Diceros bicornis minor: one gene and its partners. The protein of the gene in region 3 interacts with the protein of the main gene of each other region in a biochemical or structural test. Links are inferred from orthologs where the notes say so. Each region holds a gene or a part of one and is shown on either strand. Other genes may lie near its edges. The genes, in order: SIRPA, KIT and MATK.

The links.
Region 1: the proteins of MATK (region 3) and SIRPA form a complex in vitro, tested with the Homo sapiens proteins (3 studies listed by BioGRID, with this or other methods). The link is inferred for Diceros bicornis minor from reciprocal best matches to the Homo sapiens genes MATK and SIRPA.
Region 2: the proteins of MATK (region 3) and KIT form a complex in vitro, tested with the Homo sapiens proteins (2 studies listed by BioGRID). The link is inferred for Diceros bicornis minor from reciprocal best matches to the Homo sapiens genes MATK and KIT.

What each region holds. Positions count from the first base shown.
Region 1 is NC_080758.1:30,550,320-30,558,341, forward strand, and holds the start of SIRPA (tyrosine-protein phosphatase non-receptor type substrate 1), read left to right. Parts: upstream 1-4,590; 5' UTR 4,591-4,643; intron 4,644-5,100; 5' UTR 5,101-5,109; coding exon 5,110-5,188; intron 5,189-8,022. UniProt on the Homo sapiens protein: Immunoglobulin-like cell surface receptor for CD47. Acts as docking protein and induces translocation of PTPN6, PTPN11 and other binding partners from the cytosol to the plasma membrane.
Region 2 is NC_080747.1:42,550,800-42,558,371, reverse strand, and holds the start of KIT (mast/stem cell growth factor receptor Kit), read right to left. Parts: upstream 3,468-7,572; 5' UTR 3,393-3,467; coding exon 3,326-3,392; intron 1-3,325. UniProt on the Homo sapiens protein: Tyrosine-protein kinase that acts as a cell-surface receptor for the cytokine KITLG/SCF and plays an essential role in the regulation of cell survival and proliferation, hematopoiesis, stem cell maintenance, gametogenesis, mast cell development, migration and function, and in melanogenesis.
Region 3 is NW_026691553.1:2,892,814-2,900,586, forward strand, and holds the start of MATK (megakaryocyte-associated tyrosine-protein kinase), read right to left. Parts: upstream 3,468-7,773; 5' UTR 3,319-3,467; intron 2,077-3,318; exon of another isoform or gene 2,060-2,076; 5' UTR 2,011-2,059; coding exon 2,002-2,010; intron 1,604-2,001; coding exon 1,490-1,603; intron 1,395-1,489; coding exon 1,279-1,394; intron 1,196-1,278; coding exon 976-1,195; intron 246-975; coding exon 152-245; intron 1-151.

The DNA of each region.
Region 1 (8,022 bases), on a different chromosome or scaffold from region 3:
AGAGCGCATCGGGGTGGGGGGAGGTGACTATTTTAACGGGGTGGCAAGGCCTCTCGGAGGAGGAGGTGACCTGTGAGCAGAGACCTCCCTAAGGCAGCTTTCCTGTCTGTAAAGTGAAGGAATCACCAGCACCGTCTCCCAGGTGTGGTGTGAATGTCACAAGAACATGCCTGTAAAGCATAGCAGATGCTGAACAAACGGGAACTTATCATTATTTGGAGAACCGAGTTTGAATCCTCACTGGCTCCGCCACTCACCAGCTGTGTGTCCCGGGCAAGTCACTCCGTCCCTCTGAACTTCAGTTTCCGCGGCTATAAAATGGCTGCCGTGAGCCTTGGGGACAGCCCAGTACAGGTCAGAGAAGAGAGCAGGGGCGCCTTAAGGGCGCTCCCAGCTCCTGCCCCCCACCGCCCTCTCAACAGGCTGTCAGCAGCCCCTCTCTGGGGCAGTTGGTTCCCTGGTCCAGGAATCCCTGCTGTTTTTATTTTTATTGTTCTGGCTCCACAGCTGAGGCCTCTAACTCCAAAAGGCTCCTCTTGCCCAGAAAAATAGGTCGTTGGCAGCTCCAGTCCTGACAGGCCCCACACAAAGGCGGCCCGGCGGGCCTGCGGGCTGACGCCAGCCCAGGGTTATGGGAAGCGAGGAGGGAGCCCGGCCGGGCTGGCGCCAGGCAGAGCTGGGTCCCCGTGGGTTCCTGCAGGCCCAGGCACAGTGACCCTGGCCCAGTCGCTTTCTGTCCCTGGCTTGTTTCCTCACCTCCGGGACCACCTTCAAGGAGGCTATCCATGTGGAAGGGCCTGGCACACACAGGGGCGCCACCACCCACCTGCAGAGGCTAACTCCAGGTATGCTCCCCCGTGGTGGCTTTCCCATCTGTGCCACCACCGACCCCTCGTCTCGAGGTGGACCTGCTTATTCCTATTGCACAGATGGAGAGACTGAGGCTCATAAAATCAATTTTCCCCAAATCGCACAAGTCAAATTGTGCAGAGTCTTGGCTTGGAAGCCCTTTGCGCTCATTCAAGTCTTCTCTGCAGCGGACCCTGGACAGCAGGGGAGGGACATGATCTGACCTCTATCAAGGGATCCCTCTGGCTGCTGAGTGGAGAATGGATGGGGGAAGAGGAGGACAAGGGTGGAAAGAGGGTGCCGGTGGGAGATGGTGGAGGCGCAGACAGGGTGGAAGCAGCAGAGCAGGCACCGGGAAGTGGTTTGGTCTTGCATGTGATGAGAAGGTGGAGCCCAGGGGACAGGCTGCAGGGGGGGAGTGACAGAGAAGTGTCAGGAGCAATGCAGGGATGGAGCCGCCGCCCGTGCTTCCCATCTCCATCTCGCAGGTCTTTGCTCAAATATCACCTCCTCTGAGGCCTCCCTGACCCGCCCCCCTTGTTGGCCCTGGGTGCCTTCCTGCTTTCTCTCCCCCTGTAGCCTTATCCCCATCACAGAGACTAAATATTTCACATACCGTTTGTTTGTTTGCCCCACTAGAGTGTCAGCTCCTTGGGGGCAGGAGTTTTTGTCTGTTTTTTCCCACCTCCTGCATCCCCGGTGCCTAGCACAGAGGCTGGCACATAGTAGATGCTTAATAAATATTGCTGAGTGAGTGCATGAATGGATGGTACATGTACGAAGGCAGATCAGTTTTAATCCAGGGGAGCCCAGGACGACTCCTAGGGAGGTGGCTGATTCACCTCAACTACCTGCCATAATCTCTCTGTGACCTCAGGTCTCCCGACCTCAGATGCTCAGCTGCCCATTGGTCTCAATGAGCTCCCAGCCCTGACGGTCGGCCAAGGGTGATTTTTATGTGGAGGCTGGATCAGGAGGAAAGGGCCCAGGCCGCCTCCTGGGGCAGAGGTGAGGATGAAAATGGTCCCTGTGCTGGGCAGCCGTCCTGGGCGCCTTTGCCAAAGGTGCTGTATATACATAGCAGGTGGTGCGATTATTATCCTGGCCTAATCTGCAGCTTCCTAATCCCAGGCAGGGTGTGTGTGTGTGTGTGTGTGCGTGCACGTGCGCGTGTCCTGGGGAACAGCGAATGGCAGAGCTTTCTGGAAGCCCAGGCCAGGAGTCTACCTCATCTCTGGTGGTCATCAGTAGCCCCTGCCCCCACTCCCACCCCAGATGGATTCGTGTGATGGATTTTCCCAGGAGCCTCAGCTGGTCACCTTCACGGTCTCAGCCAGATGTGGCCTGAAGAGTTGGAGACTCCCTCCCCCAACCTGAGATACTAGGAGGACCCCAGAACAAACTCCTCACTGGTACCCTGATTCCATGCTCCCCTCTACTCTCAGCCACAGTGGCCTTTTAAACACACCAATCAGACCATGGGGCTCCCCTGCTTAAACCCTCCAGTGATTTCCTGTCTGCAGAATAAACACAGGCTCTTTACCAAGGTCTGCAAGGCCACCCAGCCTGACCACTCTCCCCAATCCTTCGCTCATTCCTCTCCAGCCAAGCTGGCCCCAGGGCCTTTATACGTGCTGCTCCCTTTTTCTGGGAACAGCAAATCCCCACATCCTCACCTTGCTGCCCCTTCTTGTGATTCAGTTCTCAGCTTCCCAGGGAGGCCTTACCCTTATTTAAATCAGCGTACCCTTCTCACTCTCTAAGCTCAATCTTCTGTTGCTCATTAATTATTTCTACTACTGTACTTATCTGTCTCCCCACTAGAATATAAATTCCTCGTGGACGGGGCCTTGTGTGGGTCACTGCTGTGTCTCCCACGCCCAAAGAAAAGAAAATCCCCTCGCCCTTCAAACACTGCCCAGAACTCTATGGGTTCCGAGGACTGTTGCTGAACACTTTCCTTATTTATCAAATGCTTACGTAGCCCCTGGGACATGCTAGGCACTTTTTAAAATGTTGTACAAATATTAAGTCATCTAATTCTCACACCAGCCTTTTTAGGTTGATATTCACATTGGCCTCATTTCAGATGCGAAAGCTGAGGCACCGAAATAAGTTCTTTTCTCAAGTCGACACAGCTCATAAGAGGTGGCTGGCAGGATCTGAACCCAGGGAGTCTGCTCCACACTCTCAACAGCTGCACCCTGCCTGCCTCCCTGTCTTAGCCCAACACCAGAAGCAGGCATTTGACAGGGAGGCAGGGCTAGGGATGGGGTGTGACTTTGCAAAGGTTTTTAGCCTAGAAATCAGGAATCAAGTCTTGTTTCTATCCTAGGCCTTGCTGCGTGGCCTTAGGCAAGTCCACTCCCTCTCTGGGCCCAGACACCCTCTAGATGTACAAGGCTGGCCCTTCTCCCACCCTGCTTCATTCATATCCTCTTAATGGCCTTGTGAAGCAAAATTGGGTATTGCTTACTTCCGAGCCCCAAACCCTCCAGTTAGCACAGGGTCTTGGATTCCTTTCCCTCCCACAGCCCAGAGCCTTCTTTTGCCAGATGACCAGCATGCTCACTCCCTATCCCTGACCTGGCTGCTCCTGGGAACACAGCCTTTCCTCACGGAAAAAGAGAGGGAGAGAAAGGAGCATGGGCTTCTTTCACCTAGGCTATCGCCCCTCTCCAGGCCCCTGCTCTCCTCTTCCCCTCGTCTTCCTCACTGCCTGTCATTTTCCTGGAGCCCAGGCCTTCAAGTCAAGCCCCCTTCTCCCCGCCCCCAACCCTGCCTGAGCCTTCCGCACCCCCTGAATGGGCCATGCCTGACAGAGAGGCAACTGGGGGAGAGCGCCCACCTCCCCAGCGAGGCCCGGACCCAGACCCTTCCCCTCTGGTTTCCAGGCCGCAGCCCCCCTTCTCGCTCCCTCTCCTCCCTGCGCCTCTTTTCCAGGCGGTGCTGAAGTCCTTCCTACACACACGCTATTTTTGTACCATCACTCTCTCCTTCCTCTCCCCCTTCCCCCTACATTCACTTACTTCCTGCTTTTCCTTCACCTCGGGCCGAGCTCTGAAAGAATTGGGCCCCTCTGGCCGGCGCCCACCCCCAAGAGGGCCCTTCAGCTTTGGGGCACAGGGGCAGGGCCGCTTGGCGAGGGGCCAAAGGCAGACCCCACCCCGTGTCCCCCTCCACTCCCCCACTCCCTCCCCGCCTCTCCCCAGCGGGACGCAGGGACAAACCCCGGCCGGAGTCCGGAGGCGAGGGCAGGTCGGCCGCAACTTCCCCAGTCCACCTTAAGAGGACGGTGTCGCCAGCTCGCGGCGCTGACCTTAGGAAAACAAGTTTGCGCTCAGTGGAGCGGGGGGCCCGGCCTCTGGGCAGCCCGCGGCGGCGCTTCCACAGCCTTCCAGCCCTCGCAGGCGGCGCAGGTCCGAGCCCGGCCGGCAGTGGGAGGGGGAGGAGAGGGGACGGCGCGGGGCCGGGGGCAGCGGCGCGGGCTTCTGCACTGGCACGCTGTTGGCGCCGGGGGCTCGTCCAGTCCCGAGCCCGAGCGGCTGCGCCGGCGGGGGGCTCGCGGGGCCGCCTCCCGGGGTGCCGGGGCCGCGGCGCGGGCGAGGGGGCGCTGCTGGCGGGCGCAAGCCGAGAAGCTGCCGGCGGCCGAGCCCCGCAGCCCCCGGGCGCGCGGGGGGCGGAGGGAGGGGGGCGGGAGGGGGCCGGGCTGCCGGGAGGGCGGGGGCCGCGGCCGGGACCGCGGGCCGGGAGCGAGCCGAGCGCCGGCGCCGCGAGGAGCCCGGGCGGGGCAGGTGGGCAGCGGCGGGGGCGGCTCGCGCCGGACGGGGCCGTGCTGCCCCTCGCCCTCCGGCGGTCCTCCTCTCCCGCGCTGGCGGTCTCGCTCGGCGCGCCGCCGCGCGCTCCTTTCTCTCCCTCTCTCCCCCTCGCGCCTCTCCGTGTCTCTGGCTCTCTGCCTGGCTCCCTTGGGTCTGTTTCTCTCTCCTGCCGCCTCTCTCTGGCTTTATTTCTCGCGCGCTCGGGGTCTCTCCCCCTCTCTGTCTCTCGATCTCTCCCGGGGAGGGGGGTCTCCGAAAATCGCGGCGGTGACGGCAGCTCCTAAGCCGCTCCAGGCGCCCGTTCCGGGGAGGGGGAAGCCCGGCCGGGAGGGGTGGGGGGGGGGAGCGGGGGGGGTGTCTTAGTCATTTCCCCGCTCCAGCCTGCGCCCGCCCGAGCGCGCACTCACGGCCGCTCTCCCTCCTCGCTCCGCAGCCGCGGCCCATGGAGCCCGCCGGCCCGGCCCCCGGCCGCCTCGGGCCGCTGCTCTGCCTGCTGCTCGCCGCGTCCTGCGCCCGGACAGGTAAGCACCCCCCACCCCCACCGCTGCCATCCCCAAACTGCGGGCTCAGGCCTCTCAGACCGCCACTGGGAGCCGCTCGGCTATGTAGAGCAGTAATAGGGGGGAAAATGCCTGTGATCAGGGTTACAGATGCGGAAACTGAGGCCCAGAGAGGGCCAGCGACTTGCCCAAGGTCACACAGCCAAGGATAAAACCCAGTCTCTCTGGACTCTGACTGTACGGCACTGTGCCACGCACTGGGACATACCCAGATGAGTTGATTCACCCGGCCCCTGCCCAATCTGATGGGAGAGGCAGGCTGTCAGCTGCTTTCAGAGCCAGGAGCCCTGGCTTCTCTAGAAGCTCTTTCTCTGGACCTGTGTTTTCCACACGTTTGACTTCAGGGTCAGAGACAGGGAGTGGGGCAGAGGTCCTCTGGCTCTGCCTGGGATGGAACAGAAACAGGCTGTTGCAATTAGGGAGGAGTGAGCTCTCTCTCTCTGGTGCGCAGAGTAAAACAGTGTTAGCCTGTGTATAGAGGAGAAAGCGAGGAAGGGAGGCCCGGTAACCCTGGGGTGAGCTGCTGCAAGCAGCAGATCCTGATGTGAAAACACAGTGGATTGTCCCTGTGGTTACCAAAGCCTCTGGCTGGATGGTCTTGCTTCTTGTGGCTCTCCTGGCCCCCCCACTTCCTCCTGCCTTCCCTGGCAGCTCCCTGCAGTTCAGGTGCTCTGTGGGGCTGTTACCTGTGGCTCTGAACGTGGCTTTTCGTTGGCCTACATCAAACACCTGGCTGTCTCCAGCAGGCGGGCTCTGAAGGCTACCGTATGTGTTCGCCAAGGGGTGAGGTCACCGTTCAGGAGTACTGCTTCTTAAAGGGGTTTTGCAAAACCACGGTCTCCTGGGAGGGCGTGGGGGGCAGAGAAACGTTGTTCAAGAGTTGGGGTGGAGAAGAAGAATGGGGATCTTATTTTTTGAAGCTGTGTTGCCAGCAGAGGGGTCTCTGCACCTCCCTCGAGGAGGGAGGTAAAGATGAGCTCAGTATCCTCCCCCCTTCTGCATTTGCCTAGAGACTGGTAACCATCTGATAGCACCGAGAAAGGGAGAGCTAGCAAAGAGTGGGTGGAGGGAGAAGTGGGGGTGGACAGCAGCTTCTCTCTGCCCTGCAGTTTCCCCCGAACCTCGGGAATCCATGTAGGCATCCCCCCCACCCCCCGGGGCTTTCAGTGCCAGTTGGGTTCTTGCTGGGCTGGGTGGAGGTAAACACTGATATATTTCATGTCTCTCTGGTGAGTGGCATCTCTGATCTGCTGCTTCCTGCCTGAGCCGGCCATTTACACCCTGCAAAGCCCGGTTCCTGCCCTGCCATCCTCCTGGCCTGCAAACGCACGAGCGTCTCGCAGAAGTGCTTAATTTTCCTGAAGCGGGGAACTGGGCCCAAGTTAATTTCTAAATGTCTATTCCAGACCCTTCTCCACCCAGGACCCTGTGGTTCAGTCCCTGGCAAATGAGCTGTGACGCTGATTAACAAGTGTTCAGATGGGCAGCCTGCCTCTCCTGGGCACTGGCTGGGAACACCAACACCCTTCTTGTGAGCAAATCTCCCCCTTTTACCTATAAAAACAATCTATAAAATGGTAAAGATTAGGCCATAAAACTTCCGTTCCAATCCATTCAGCATCAATAGCCTGAAAAAGTGGGAGCAGCAGAGGGGCCAAGATTAACTTTGAAATAAATAAATCTTAGAAGGTGAGAATAAATTTCTTGGTTGAGGGTGGTGGGGAAGGGATGGGGTGTCACCGTCATAGCTCAAATCTCCCAGCATCCTTCGCTCTCGTTCTACGGGGTTCTGGTCACACTCTGGGCCCTGGCATGGAGTTCACTGGTTTGGCTGAAGGATGGGGCTTCAGGCCCCTCCCTCAATTGCTCCAGGCATGAAATTTATGACAAAGCAGAAGAGAGTCAGGACAGAAGGGCAGGGAGGTAGAAGGAGTCAGTTGTCCAATTTTGTAAGAAAATGAATTTGTTCGAGTGAGAAACTCAAATGTCAGGCTTCAGAAGGCAGCTAGGATTGAATGACTACTAGTGTCTCAGGCAGAACTGTCAGCCTGGGAGGTGTCACATGATCGCTGTGGCTTCACATGATCGGGATCTGGAGGGGCTAGTCATGTAAATTATCTTGGTTGGGGAGGCAGGGGAAGAAGTTTCTAAAGATTCCTTTCAGCACAAATGCTGCCAAAGGGAAATTCTAAAAAGATGCACGTGAAGTCACCAACCTGTGTTCTTGGAGCCAACGAGAGGTCTGTTTCCTAAAACAGCTTTGCTGAGGGAGATTCTGAGACTAGGAGAAAGGCAAGGATCTGGGGCTTGGGGACACCTGGGCACCCTGATTCTGCAACAGCAGCGCCTGCCACTGACCCTGTGGGCTTCTGGCTTGGCCCCACCTAGGTCTTGGGACCTGGGGGTCACCTGCTGGGCAGACCTCAGATGAGCTCCCGTTCACTCCTTGCTCGGCCTGGAGAAGGCCAGGCCACGTTGGGTTTCAGGCTTCGGGGGATAGCTGGGCCCTCTGGTGGGCCTGACCCTTTGGTAGCGGGTGGATGCTGGTGGCTTCTCTGTACTTTGCTGAGTGGCGAAGTTAATCTCGCTTCCTCTTTCACAAGAAGAGGAAGGGGGAGGAGGGCTTTGGCCCCAATGGGCTTGGGCTGTTAGAAGGTCCTGTAAAGCCCTGGTGTACTCTGGATATTTTCTGGCCATTAACTTTTCCTTTCCCAGCCCCGTGGACCTGACTCATTCCCTTACTTGCAGTCATTCAGCACGTATGACGTCCTGATGTGAACCACGTGTTGCGAGAA
Region 2 (7,572 bases), on a different chromosome or scaffold from region 3:
TCAAAATCCTAAGGGCAACTTCTAGCAGCCGTCAACAACAGCAGCAAAAGCCATCACCACAACAACATCTGTACATAAACGTGCTCCAAGGGAAGCACACAAAATACTTGGCACATTTCTGATGAGAATTTGTTTTGGGAGAAGAAAAGTTGTGAGCGGTAAACTGCCATGATATCTCACCGTGCTCGTCCAGGGTAAATGGCCAATGGTATTCCCATTACGGGGGGTTTCTCTTTCACAAGTATGCCACAAGTATATAATGCTAAGACCATTTTTATTTTTTGGAGTGGGGGATGGAAAAAATTTTCAGCTGGCTTACACCATCATTTTAGGGACAGTTTATCTTCATTTCTGAGAGACTCTACCTGGAATGGGAGAGCTCACACCTAAAGCCCTTATACCCAAGGCTATAATTTAATGACTTCCCTCAAACTGAGAACACTCGAACTCAGACATCATAAGACAGGCAATTCTAGGTCTTTTTCACCAAAATTGGGAAAGTAATGACTTGGCCATCTTGTGTTCCCAGAACCTCCAACAATGCCTGGCGTTTAACAGGTCCTCATTAAATAGTTTCGAATGGGTAAGTCATGTGAATGGATATACAGCTGGGCACACGCGGCCAATCTCAGGTTTCACCACTGATGACTCTGGGAACTGACTTCTCCTCAGCCAGTTTCCCCAGCTGTAAAATGGTAGGGATGGCAACAGTTCTACCTCCGGTGCTTGTTGAGAGGACTGGAAATGCCAGGTGAAGGCTCCAGCACAGGCCCTGGCACACAGTTTCCAAATAAAAAGCAATAACTACGTACAACACACATGTAACGTGAAATTTAAGACACATCAGAAAACGTGCTGTAAATGCACAGCATACACGATTTATAAGGTCCTAAGGAAAAACGTGTGGATGAGCAGGAAAGACCAGAATGGGGATAAATGAATTATCTGGAATCCCTTTATAAGACTATCATATTACTTCCAGCAGGATATTAAGCCAGAATATCCTGTGTCCAGCTGCTGGGTATGACTCTAGGCTCACATCTGCAGGAACATGGGGAAGGTATGATTCACTATTCCTTGCAGGTTCATCCTGCCGGGCACAGGAGTTGTAAATACTGGGGGGAGGGGGGGGGTAGGTGATGAGGGTCCTGTAGAGTTGCAAGTTGGCACCTCCTAGCCCTCAAAGGGAAATAGCAGGCCAGCATGTGTGGATTGAAGAGAGGGCAGCATAAGCACATCTCCCTGCCTTAACCAGGGGGAGACCAGTAGGATACCACCAAGTGGTCCCTGTGACAGAGGCGGCAGAGAGATTTCAAGGAGGCAGGAAGGAATCAGGAAAAAACTCAGAAAAAGTGTAGAGTCTACACTCAGAACACTGGAAGAGGAGAATTTTTGGATCCAAAGGACCCTTCATGATGCAGATGCCTCACTGCCCCCTTCAGGAAACTGGGCTCTCCAGAATTTAAGCGACCTGCCCAAGGGCATAGAGAAACCAGAACGGCAGCACAAGGCTTTGTCACTACACCACAGTGCCCCCCAGAAGCCAGACCTTAAAATTCCCTTTGCCAAAAGCCTACTGGATGGAGCAAGCTACTGATGCGGAAGAAGGAAGCAAATGATTCATTTAATTTTTAAAAAGGGAAATATTCTGCGTGGTCTGTCTTTCTAGTGCCTTACTCCCTTCCGGTCTACATACCTTAACTGAAATTAAAAATGCCAAGATGTAAAGACCAAACGTTTCATTGGAAGCTTAGGCGGTCAAATCCACCACGAAATCCGGACACTCACTCACGATCCCTCCTACCTCACACGAGTCCAGATGCAAGGGCCCCCTTCTCCGACAGGTAAGCCCTGACAATGCCTTCCAAGACCGGGAAGGCGGACCCTGCATCTTGCGACTTTATGGGAAAACTGACCATAGAGCCCCACAATAGTTCATAGCGATGCTTCCTCTGGAGCCCTTGAATTCCAGTTCAGACTCACTTTCTGTCCTCACATCATGAGGGTAGCCTTAAAGCTTTTTAAAAAATGACCTGAGAGCGAGCAGGGCTCCAGGGGTTAGCTGGGCGACCTGCGCTCGCTCGCGCACCAGCGACACCCAGAGAAAAGGGAAGAAGGGGCAGGAATCTGACTGAGGAGCCTGTAAATCCTTCTCCTCCGCCTTAAGACCCAAGTTCCCGCGCAGATATAACCGGATTTTCACAACAGCTTTAAGATCCAAGTAAGATTTGCAAAGTTCCACTCCGTCTCCCACCCTTCACCTCCCGCAGCCCTTATATATAGATATCACGTGGAGTGAGTATTGCGAATCTCAAAATTCCCAAAGAAAACAGGGACCTGCGATTACAGGTTGCAGACACCGATTCCGGGGGCTTGCAGAGCCCCGCTAGCCTGACCAGGCGTGGGAGGCGGCCGGGGTCGGGGACCACGGCGTCCCAGCGCACTGTCCCTGCCTTCCCCGAGAGCAAGCGGCAACGCAGCCACCAGCCGCTTCCAGGCGCGTGGCAGGGAAGCAAGCGGCAGAGAGTGGCGAGCCTCTGGCACCGGACTTATTAAAGCTAAAAGTCTGCAACCTAGCGGCTGCTTTCCACACGCTCTGCCCAAGCTGCCTCTGTAGCCGCCCCCTCCAGGTTAGCGGGGTCGGGCCCCAGAGCCGCACGCGGCGCGCTCCCGGTGCAAAAGCATGACCAGGGGTTCGGGGGGACGCCGCAGCCTTCGACTCGCGTCCACGAGTGGCGCCGCGAGCAGAGGCGGCAGTGGGTCAGTCCTCAGCTCCCAGGCACAAAGAGCGCTCGCGGTTTGGAAAGCAGCAGCCGCAGAGCAAAGAAAAGCCTCTCCAACTTTGACCTCGGCGCGGCTGAGAAGCTGCGGGCCGGTCCCCCGGTGCGCCGGTCACACACGCGCAACTTTTAACAAAAGGAAGCAGCGGCCGCGCCTCGCACGGCGGAGATAACGCGCTGGGTGCGACCCGCCGACCCGTCCGCCTGTGCCCTCACGCACTCTCGGCACAAAAGCAACCCCAAACTCGCACGCAGCTCGCTGCCCTCAGCCTGCACCTCGCTCACGCCTAAACCCCCTCGCTGCCCTCATTTCTGGAAGACCCCAGCTCAGCGTCCCCACCACCAGCGGCTGGGGTCTCCTCGCGCAGGTGAGCGAGGCAGGGCGCAGGAAAGTCCGGGGACGCCTCCCATCCTCCCAGAGGCTGAAATGCACGGGCACTGGAGGGCCAGCAGCCCCCTCTCCAGACACACCCCAACGTGTTCGAGCCCTCGGGGGCACAGGCTGCGCCAGGGGCGCGGCCCCGGTGCCCGCGGCGCTCTCCCACCTGTCTGGACGCGGAACAGGAGAAGCAGGACGCAGAGAAAATCCCAGGCGCCGCGAGCGCCTCTCATCGCGGTGGCTGCGCTGGGATCGGAGCTCCGTTCCACGTTCCTGCTCTTGCCCAAGTGCACCAAGCGCGGCAAAGCCGAGCCCCCAAGAGCCGCGAGCTGCGAGCAGCTGCCCCTCCTCCCAGCGCCCTCCCCCTGCGCGCCGGCCACGCCCCTTCTCGGCGCCCCTCCTCGCCTCCCCTCCCCTCCCTGCCTCACGGCTGATTCTCGCTCCCTGCCGGCGGCGTCTGGCCCCTGCTTTTTCGACGTACTCATCCCGGGGGTCTGAGCCCGCGGGGAGCGGGAGGGCGCGCCGACCCTCTTCGCCGCTTCCCGACCCCGGAGCCCCTTCGTCTCTTCACTCCTGTGATGTGGTCTGGGCGCCGGAGGCGGTTCCCGGACGGGGGTGGTGCTGCCCGCGCGCTTTGTGAAGCTGGGCACCACGCGCAGATTAGGGCACGGGCCCGCCACCTGGCAGGTGCTCCCCAGACAATAAAGGTTCGCCGCCTGCCCCTCGAGCACGCTCCTGAGGGAGGAGGCTGGACGCCGCTAGTGGTGGAGGTGGACAGGAATTGGGGGCAGAGGGAGAAGAATGTCTTCTCCATTTCTTTTAGTCGGGGTGGGGGCGACCAAGCGTGGTGCCTGGCACCGCGGTAAAAGGCTAAGCCGCGGCGTAATTCTTTCTGGTCAGTTTCTCCACCTGCTTCTCAACCGGTAAGATCACAGTTGGTTTCTATTGGTCGGCGTGGCCTCCGCCCTACAAGCCCCTGCCGAGGCTTTTCTGGAGACTGGGGCCTCGGAGTGGGGAGGGGCGCCTTGCGAAGTTTGCTCTGGGAGCCCGAGTTTTTACACCCATTTGCGCCGAGATCGTTGTGCTAAACCCTCTGGGCACCTTCTCTTTTTGTCCCCCATACGGTTTCTCTGGCCCTCTATGCGAAGACAGTTACAGGGGTGGGGATCCGAGCCGTTCCTCTTCTGCTGCCCTAGCCTGTACCAGGAGCAAAATAATAGTGAAAGGATTCTCCTAAGCCAGGTTCCACTGCCTGGGAAGGTCCCAACAGTATCTGTATAGGGTTTTATAGTTCCTCCTTACACTGAATATTATTTCATGCTCACAATAACAGCTTTGCGAGGTAGGTAGAGCAGATATGTTTATTATTCTAGTTCTAGAAGTGGCCCAAGATCACACAGCTAATAGAGAGGAGACCCAGTCATTTTGGTGGCTCCGGGTATGATGAGCTTTCCTTATGCATCCTAATAAACCAGTAAAACACCCCTCCAGAGAGCTTAACAATGGAAAATAAATGGGAAATGCTCATCAGAAAAAGCGATGGAATAATTTAGATACACCTAGACTCTTCTCTAAAATAACATTCAAAATTTATAATTAACCAGCAGCACCCCACACACACTTTAACATTGAAAGTTCTCCTGTTTGATGTTGATAGGACCTAAGTTGGTTTAAGAAAAATGATTTTTAAAGCTAATCACTTAAAAATTATTGCTACTAGATCAATGGGTATGATTGCCTCTCTTTAAGATTATTTATTCATTCAACAAGCATTAAAGTGTCTACTGTGAACAAGGAGTACCATTGTTAACAGACAGATGTGGGCACTGCCACAATCCTTATAGTCAAGTGTGGGAACCCACACCCCAATGTCCTAGCAAATGGTTCAAGTCATACAGCTGTGGGAGAAGTGAAATGCAAAAGTCTCTGTACTCTGCGCCCTCAGACCACAGCTTTTTCTGAGGATGACAGAGATAAAAGCTCCACTCAAAGCAATCATAAGTTTCTGGGATCTTGATTTATTTCTAAAATCCATTTCGTAGTGAGAAAAAAATGACTATGAGTTAAAATATCAACATTATACCCGAGAGAGAAAATTCACAATTTTCTTCTTCAATCGACTGATATTGGAGAGGATAACAAGTCTTCAGAAGGGTGGATGAAAAGAGACCATATTGCAATTTAATTCTAGGCAGGAAACTTCTATCAAAGGGGAAAAAAAAAAACCTAGAGTAGGGAATTATACAATGCGTGACTGTTGTTCATGTTCACCATTCAACAAATACCTGTTGAGCACCTAGGTAGACACAAGACCTACAAAAATCAATAAGACAAGGTCCCTGTCTAGGAGGATTCACAGTCCAGGGGAGAAAACAGATGCCCAAATAAGAAACTATAATATCTACTAACGGGGCTCATGTTCTGCCAGTACACACCAAGTTGGTTGGTAGAATATTGAAATCTTTCTGTACTTATTGGAAAAAAGCCACTCCTCCAAAACACCTAAGTGCCCCCTCACTCCAACCCCTCCCTTGAGATACCCCAACTCTCCTCAGATCCAGCAATTAAAGGTTTAATGCCGGGCACAGCAGAGAGCCTCCAGTCCCTGTGCCTTTAGGGTGATTAGCTATTTTTAATAATACCCTCTGCCAGCCAGGTACTAAAAGGAGGCATCTAGAAGGTGCTCTGAGTGAACTGCTATGGGAATGAACTATATTTTAGATCATGTCCAATACAAACGTTTACAATGATGGAAATATTTGATATCTCAGGTAGGATGTACAGGACCAGTTCTGTACTCTATTTTGTGATAGCCCTGGACCCTTTCATGAATTATATTGTATATAATTTATTGTTTTCATAATTGTCCAGAGATGATAGCATTCTACACTTTCCTAGATCCAAGAACTCAAAAACGTGAGGACTTGAAGGTAGTGTGTGTGTGTGTACACACACATGCATTTTTCTGCATCTCCATCCTTCAGCAATACTTTCCTGTATTGATTCCCTGTCCTCATGTGCACTCAAGCAGCTCTAGGCTTACAGCTCATTAGTACCAATGTAAGCAGAGCTTTTCTGCCCTCATGAACATCTCCTTTAAAAGTATTAACTTGGCTTAAGTCACATGCCCACTTGGAACCAGTCACAAAGCCAGACAGATGGAATATGATGATTGGCCAGGTCTGGCTCACATGCCCACCCCTGGAGCCAGGGTTGAGTATCCACTTCATCCACATCCCAAGGCCTAAGAATGAGAAGGGATATGTCCCCAAAGAAAACCTGAGGTACTTTCACTAGAAGAAGCCGAAATGATGCTGCACAAATAGAACAGATGTTCAGTATTATGTACACCTGAAATTTATATAATGTTATAAACCAATGTTACTGCAATAAAAAATTAAATTAAATTTTAAAAGATGTTCTACTATTGTCTCACATAGCCCAAATCTCTAACTTGAAAAATTTTTTAATTTCTGATTGTAAAAGTAAAGATGCTTTCTGTGGAAACTTTAGAAAATACCAAAAATTATAAAGAACAAAACAAAAATCACCCAAGATATAATTACTGAAGCGTTCATTTTGGTGTGTTTCTTTCAAATCTTTTTTCTCTGCTTATGCTAAGGATTTTTTTTTCTTTGTATAATTTAAGATTTTACAATACTTGCTAGTTTTCTATCCAGCTTTTTCACTAATCATAACACAAGCATTGTCCCAGATCATTAAAAATTCTTTGGGGGGCTGGCCCCGTGGCATAGCCGTTAAGTTCGGCGTGCTCCACTTCAGCGGTCTGGGTTCGCAGGTTTGGATTTCGAGAATGGACCTACACCACACATCAAGCCATGCTGTGGCGGTGACCCACATACAAAATAGAGGGAGAACAGGCACAGATGTTAGCTCAGGGCTAATCTTCCTCACCCAAAAAAAAAAAAATTTCTGTGGAAACATAATACATAACAGCAGTATAATGTTCACTTGTATGTATGTACCATAATTCTAAATATGTAATCATTTCTCTATTTTTTTCCAGTTTTTTCCTATCATAAATTACTTGATTATGAACATCTTGGTGAATAAAACTTCCCTGCCTCTGATTATTTGTATAGGATAAATTTCTGGGGGTGGAATTACTACACCAAGGGTATAATCTTTTTCAAGTTTGTTACTTGATAGTCCTTATTTTTCCAGTAACCATTTGAAAGGTTTTGTGCATAAAGTGGGAGAAATGGATATGTGATCCTCATTGGTGGACTCTATACCAACAATAACCACCTCACCATTGGTGAGGATGGGAGAAGGTAGTGTATGCTCTTAGTTCAAGCTTTCACCCAGTGTTTATTGAACACCTTCTATATGCCAGATGAGCTACATTAGGTGCTGGGAAGGAAAAGTCAGACAAGACACAGATGCCGCCCC
Region 3 (7,773 bases):
TGGGGGGCGACATTTCACAGGTGTTAGAACCCGGCCATGGAGGGGATGTGGGAGGGTGGGGAGGCAAGGCTCAGAGGCAGGTTTCTGGCTCAGGTGACGTGGCCGCGGCCATGCGCCCGGGGCCGCGCGGGCGGGGAAGGGCGCGCCTTACCCTTGGCCAGCTCCTCCTCCGCCGACCTGGTGCCCTGTTTCCTCCTGGGTTTCACGAGCCGCGTGCAGATGGCCCCCTTGTCTTTGCTGTAATGCTGCAGGGTGGGGCGGGGCAGAGGCGCGTGAGCCCGACCCCGGGCTGCGGGGAACCCCTGCAGCCCGTCCCCTTCCCAGGGGGTCTCTGGGTGGGGTGGGCCGGAGCTGGGGAGGCGGGAGGAAAGGGGTTTGGTTCTCGCAGGATGAGTTGGGCTCGTTTCCATGGAAACGGAGAGGATGCAGGAGAGGAGGAAAACAGGAGGATCCTGGGGAGGTGGGGGGGGTCTCTGGATTCGTGTCAACTTGGAGGTTCCTAGGGGTCCCCAGAGGGCCACCCCAGTCCCTGGAGGTGGAACCCCGAGGACTCAGACCACCTCTAGGGTTGGTGGTCCATGGAGGCTAGCCCCTCCTACTCCACAGTGAGGAGCATGCGCCCTGGGGGTCCCAGGTGCACCCAGCTGCCGGGATGGGGCGGGGTCTGGGGTCCCTCCATCTCGCTTTGGGAAGCACGTGACTCTGGGGGTCCCAGGTGCACCCAGCTGCCGGGATGGAGCGGGGCCTGGGGTCTCTCCATCTCGGCTTTGGGGAGCACGCGCCTATGGGGGTCCAGGGCCCACACAATTGCCGGGAAGGGGCGGGGCCTGGGGTCCCTCCATCTCCGCATTAGGGAGCATGCGCTCTGGGGGTCCCGGGTCCACCCAATTGCCGGGATGGGGCGGGGCCTGGGGTCCCTCCATCCCGGCTTTGGGGAGCACGCAGCTCCGGGGGTCCGGAGCCGCGAGGCCGCACCTCCACCATATCCATGAGGTTGCAGAAGCAGGCGGCCTCGTCGATGGTCAGGTGGCCGTCGCGGTGCAGCACGCGGTAGTGGATGACGTCGCGGCCGAAGCTCACGCACAGCACGTAGTCGCCGGGGTGCCGCACGGACTCGCGCACCAGGAACAGCCCGTCCTCGGGCGGCTGCAGCTGCTGCACGGCCTCCTGGCCCGAGATCTTCCCGTGGAACCACCTGCGGGCGGCGGGAGGGCGCGCTGGGCCGGGCTGGCCGGGGCCCCCGCCTCCCCCCGCCCCCGGGGCGTCCCCCCCACTCACGGCATGAGGCTGAGCTTGGGGTCCGCGGACAGGGCCTCGCGCTCCCGCAGCGCGCCGGCCGCCAGCAGCCCCTCCTGCCCGCTGGCGTGGTGCTTGGCCCGGTACCAGCTCTTGCTCTACCAGGGAGGGAGCCAGGGGTCGGTGTGTGTGTGTGGGGGGTCCTGACGGAGCCCCGTCCCCCAGCGCGCCAGGCCCTCCAGCCACCGCTCACCTCGCAGGCCTCCAAGATGGTGACCACATCGCCCTTGCGGAAGGCCAGCTCTCCCGGCTTGGGGCGCGTGTGCTCACACTTGGTGATGCATTGGGTGCCCGGGGCCCAGCGCCTCTGGGGGGGGGGCACAGGGCCGCATGAGGGCCAAGCGGGGCGGGGGGGAGAGGACAGGAGGGAGACAGGACTGGAAATTGAGCAAGAGACAGCCAGCCACCGAGCGACGGGGAGATGAGAGACAGACAGCAAATCGGATGGCGACAGAGACAGTAAACAACGGAGAGGAGGAGAGAGGGCAGGGCGCAGCCAGCAGAACAATATTAGTCACCAACCCAGGGGCCCAGGACCCAAGGTCAGAGAGAGAAGGCGAGAGAAAGTCAACACGAAGGGAGCGAGAAAGACTGGGCAGACACTGGCTGAAGGGGCCCCGGGTGGGAGTCTGGCCCCCCGGGGAGCTGAGGGCCTGCGGGTGTGGACTGAGTCGAGAAGGGCTGGGGACAGGCTGGGGTGCTCACCGTCGGCATCCTGCCTGGGAGGGTGGGGGTGCCCGGCGCGGAGGAAGCGAGGCCTCACCTGGGGAGGAGCAGAGACCAGCTGGAGAGCTCAGATTCCAGCCGGGCTGGGGCCCCAGCGCCCTCACTACCACTGTCAGCCCAGCCAGGTGGAGGCGACAGCCGGCGGGCATCCTCGGGGGTGGGGGTCCAGGCGCTGGCTCCCCAAGGCCCTGTGGGGAGGTGGTATGTACCGGGGGGAGCTCCTTAGCAAAGTCAAAGCCACGAACACCAGGAAGGGCACCATGGAGCCTCGCCTCGCCATGGTCCCCAAAGGGAAACTGAGGCACAAGGTGGGCACAGAGCAAGTGGCCACGGGCTGGGGCGGGGGGGGGGGGGAGCGTCTGGCTCAGGCCCCAGCAGCCCGCATGGTGCGTGGGGAGCTTGGTGCCACCTAATCGAGCCTCCTTCTTCCTCTTTTCTGGTAAGTGGGCAGGGGCAGGGCAGGGAACAGAGGATGATGATTCAAGGTCATTCCCAAGAATCCGTGACCCTGGCGGGGAGCGAGGGGACGAGGGCCATGCAGCCCTGCTGGGCTCCTCTGGCTGCCAGCTGAGCCTCTCTGATCCGCCCCCCCCCACAACCCAGGAGGGACACACACATTCACTCACTGCTGCTGGGGTGCCGGCATTTCCACCCCTGCCTCCCCCATGGACCCCACTGCAGGGGGCTGGTTGGGGGGGTGAGTCTGCGTCTCCAGTATGCGCCCCCCAAAAGTCCCCAACCTCACGTGTACTCGCACGCATACTGATCCGTGTACACACGAGCACACACACAGGTGGACAGAGGTGCCCACAGCCGCGCGGGTGTGCAAGCAGAGGCACGTTCCCCTAGAGACACGTGTGCACCCCCGTCCACACGTGTGTACACACGCACAGATGCTCGGACATCGGGAAACCTGTGTACCTGTCTCCCCCAGCGCACACACAGACCCACACTGGAACACCTGGGCGCCAGACACAGGGCCACCCGCGCACGCAGAGCGACACGCAGGGCCGCGCACACGCATCTCGGCCACACGCGCACATCCTCCACGTGGACGCGCGGATACACACGCCCGGGGGCTCGCAGACGCGCACACCCGCAGCCAGAAAATACCCCCACCCCGCGCCTGGTCGCCTCTAGCCACCGCCCGCCCCGGCCGCGTACCCGCCGCGCGCCCCGGACGCGCACCCTCGCGCGCACACCGGCCCCGTCCGCGCACGCCCGGGGTCCCCCTGGAGCCCTCCTGGTCCCCCGCTGCCCCGCGGTCTCTCCCCCCATCCCCGCCGCCGCGCTCACCTGCTCAGGGGGCGCCCCCGGGCCGCGCCCCGCGCTCGCCCCCAGGAGGGCCCCCGCGCGCCGGCTGCGCACCCCGAGGCGGCCTCGGCTGCACAACTTGGAGCAAGTTGCTCCGTTTCCTCATTTTGGGGGGGGGGAGGACTGGGGTGGGGGGGAGCGGGAGGCGCCGCGGCCTGGGAGGCCCCCGCGGGTCCTAGCGCCGGCCGCACTGCGGTCTGCTCCGCGCGCCGCCGCCGCCGCCGGCCCCTCCCCTCCCCGCCCCCGCGGCCCCCGGCGCCTCAGGCGCGGCCCGGGCGGGGGCTGGTGGCGCTCGCGGGCTCCCCGCCGCTCCCGGCCTGGCGCCGCGGGGCGCGCACCCCCGCCCACCCCGGATGCCGACGCCTTGGAGCGTGAAGCGGGTGCCGCGCTCGTGCGCGCGGGCAGGGGAGGCGGAGTGAGCTGCCCATCCGGGGAGGTAAGCAAGCCGCGGAGCCCAGACGACACAGTGGACCCTCTGAATCTGTGATTCCAGCGCCCTCAGTCACCTCCTCTGCCATGGGGGGGGACTCATTCAGAAGGCTGATGGTGCCTGGCGCAAAGAAAGCGCCCAAAAATGTCACCTGCTATCGGTATCGTTATGATCATCATCAATATTAAGGGAAAATTGGGGCCACAGAAAAAAAACTATTGGGAACTGAGGCCTCCTGGCGGAGCAGCCCTCCTTGGAGGTGAACAGTGGGGTGTGCCTGGGGCCATCCCAGCTGTGCCAGAGGCAGGGGCTGCTCCCACTCCAGCCTCGGTTTCCCCCTCTGTAGGGCTGGGCAGCACTGGCTTTGACCTCAGAGGACAGTCTCAGGTCAACTTGATGGCCACGCCTGGGCGTGGCCCCCTGCGATCGCCCTGTGAGCTCCGCCGCCTTCCTGCTCCGACAGGGATAAACCAAGATGCCCAGACAGCCTGGGTCCCCTCTTTAATCTTCTGTCCCCTGCAAGGCTAAGTGTGGGTGCCTCTAGGCATCTCATGATTTCTGGGAACAGAGGCCCAGTTAGGAGAGTGACAGAACAGCCACATGATGGGATAGTACGCAACAAAAACTAGGAAACTATGTGTGCTAACCTCAACAGTTGTCGAAACCGCCCCCCCACCACCAGGCTGTGACACAACACAAATGCATGACCCTATTCCTGTTATCCAGGAGAGAATAAGTCCGAGGGGAGAGTTCCAGAAGGGGAGCCCCCAACCGGCACCAGGGTTATCCCCAGTGAGGAGCGTGGGCAGGAGGAGAGGGAGGGGAGGGCGTCTTTCCTTCGCGGAGTGTAATTCATTATTCCCAGCTGGCGTTTGCAGGGAGGGGGCCTCCCTCCGAGGGGTTTCCTGGCCAGCAGGCTCCCCGGGCTCCATCTAGGGATCTGGCTGTGGGACGGGCCCAGGCTGTGGCCCCGCCTCCCAGCCGCCGGCACTGCTTGGGACCTGGGGCTGGGGACCTCGCGGCCGGCATTCAGTAGGGTCCCCCAGGCGCCCACCATATATGGCAAACCACCATCACTTGCCCGAAATAGACACGCAGCATCAAAATCGCACAGCGGAAACCCAGCGGCACCATCCGATTCCCACGAGAGACGCTGCCGCCCCGGCCCCACGACGGGGGCGCCTTCTCTCTGCCCAGCGCGGACACGAGCCCGCGTTCACCACGTCAGGACGCCCTAGCACCCCACGGAGACGTTCTCCTTCGTGCGATTCTTAGTGTCTAGGAGCACCTACATCCTCCCCGGGACCCCAGGGGTCCTGCCCCACACTCTGGAAGGCCCCGCTCCAGAAGGAATAAGCAGAGATACCAGAGGCATTGAGACTGGAGAAGGAGAGACTTAAGGAGACAGGTTCAGGTGCCTGAATCTCCAAAGGCTGGCCTGGGGTGCAGGGGGCCCCCAGGGCACTCAGCTGTGCCTGACTCTAGGGGGACAGATTCCAGTCCATGGTTTATTTGGGTCAGGGCTACCGAAGGGGTGAGCTCCCCGTCCCTGGAGGCACCCAAGCGTTGGTCACTTTGGATCACAAAGGGCACTCGCCCTTCCCTTCTACTAGCCTGAAGCCAGCTGGTAGCCACACCATGGGATCCGACTGCAGAATTCTCCAGTCCTGGGCTCCCTACCCTCCATCCAGACATTCTCTGACCCGCCCAGGCCACCCGCCTGGTGCAGGCAGGTGACAAGAGGCCCCCTCCCTGGTCTCCCAGCCACCCCTAGTCTTTCTCCTTGCTACCCTTCACCTTCCGCTGCATCGCCCAGGGAGGAGAATGTGACCTTGGCCCTCCCCTGCTCTGCATCCTTCCCTAGCTCCCTGCCGCCTGCAGGACAGAGTCTAGAACGCTCAGTCCGGCATCCAGGGTTCTTCGTGTTCTGCCTCCCTGGCCTCGTCTCCTGCTCCCACCAGGCACCCAGCAGTCCCAACTCTGAACTGCAGGCATTTGCATGCTTTTGCGCTGGCTGTTCCCTCTGCCCGGAATGCCCTTCCCCCCATCCAGCTGGCATCTCTGAGCTCATGCCCAACTCAACCGGCGCCATTTTTATGAAGCCTTCTTGGGCGCCCCCACCCCTTCTCGCAGCAAGAACCCACATCTGTGCTCTGAAAGGACCCCTCGAGGGGGACCCTGGCTCTCTGGTCTCACTGTGTGATGGGCGGGGACCTGGCAGCCTGCCTGGAGGAAGGCAGAGCCGAGAAATGGAGAGAGAGATCCAGCCATGCCTGGAGTTCATGCTAGAACTGGAGCCGCTGAGAGCCAGAAAGGCGAGGCTACTTGCCCATGGTCACACAGCTGGTTGGGGCTAAAAGTCAGGCCTGCAGACTCCCCCAATGGGGTTGCAAACTTCTCAAAGGCAGGACATGTTTCTTATTCTTACTAGTAGGGATGAAAATCATTGTAGGCAATGAACAAAGGGAGCCGTGTGACAGGCACTTTACATAATGCATCAGTGAGGATTAGGATTGGCTACACGGGATGGAGGACCCCAAGTGCTAAAGGCTTGAATTAGACAGAAATTAATCCTCTCCCGGGGAGGCAATCCTGAGCAGTGTCAGGGACCCAGGCTCCTGCCCTCTCGTTGCTCTGCCTTTCTTGGCACACGAACTTCCACCTCTTGATCTAAGATGGCTGCTCAAGCTCCAGCCATCCCATCTGCATTCCAGCCAACAGGAAGCAGGAAGTTGGCAGAGAAAGGTGCACCTCTTCCCTTTAAGGACTCTTCCTGGAAGACGCACATGACACCTTCATTTTATCCCGTTGGGTGGAACTTAGCCACATGGCCAAAGCCTGGGGCAGGAGAAGGTGGGAAACGCAGTCTTCACACCAGGGGCCATTCCCGGCTGTGGCTTCTGTACCTGGCACACAGCAGGTGCTCAGAACATATTCTTTAAGCCAATGACTATGGGGAGGGGAGAGGTACTGAGGTGTCACCTGTGAGGCAGGCACCCTCAGTGTACCCATTTCTCAGATGAGAATGCCGAGGCCCAGAGGGCGCCCGGGCTCGCCCCAGGACACGGGAGGTGGTGTGCTGGCCTTCGAACCCAGCCCGTCCGGCCCCAGGGCCCACAGGCCAGCCGCCTGGCGAGGTGTCGGGCACACGGTGGACCCCCAGAGAGAAAGTGCCGTACCGAGCTCTCTGATCTGGAGGGCGGGCGGGCAGATGTGGGGCCGGATCCTGGAGCGCGGCCGGATCGGACTGCCCCAATTAGCACGCCTTTAAATTTAGCCGTCTCCTCCCTGCCAGGGGCCTCGGGGACCCGGCGAGGAACGCTCCGCTCTGCTCTTTCGAGGAAACGTGCTGCCCCGCTGCTCCGCAGCCAGAGCTGCGGTTCGCGTCGAGCGAAAGGGCTCTCGGGGCGACCTGCTTTTTTGGGGTGCCGGAGGTGAGCTTCAGGCAGATCTGCCTTCCAGAGAGGAGGCTGTGTGCTCTCCCCCACATCCTCGCCCCATCATCCTGTGATGCGAGTAGAGTGGATCCGGCATGTCGTTTTCCAGCCACGCCTGCAGGTTCGATGTGGGTGAACTGGGTCTGTGTCACTTCCTGGCTGACGACCTGCCCGTGGTTTCCATCTGGCTGAGGATGGAACTTGGGCTTCTCACTGTCACCCCCCACTGGCTTGGTCTGGCCGCTGTCACCCCTCTGCTGTCAGCTCCCTCCACTTGCTCCTGTTCCTCAAATGCTTCAGGCACCAGCCAGCCTCAGGGCCTTTGCACGTGCTGTTTCCTCCTCCTCGTATGTGCTCCCCTCAGCTCTTCTCAAGGCTGGCTCCTTCTCGGCGTTTCCGGCTCCTCCAAGAGACCCTTCCTGACCACCCATGGTGGTCACCCATCGTCCAAGCCCCAATCACTGCCTGTTACTCTGTCTGACTCCTTCTTGTCGATTGCCCTCCTGCCTCGGTCTGCTCCTCTTGACACAACGTATGCTCCGAGAGGCAGGGCAGGGACCGGCTGTGGGT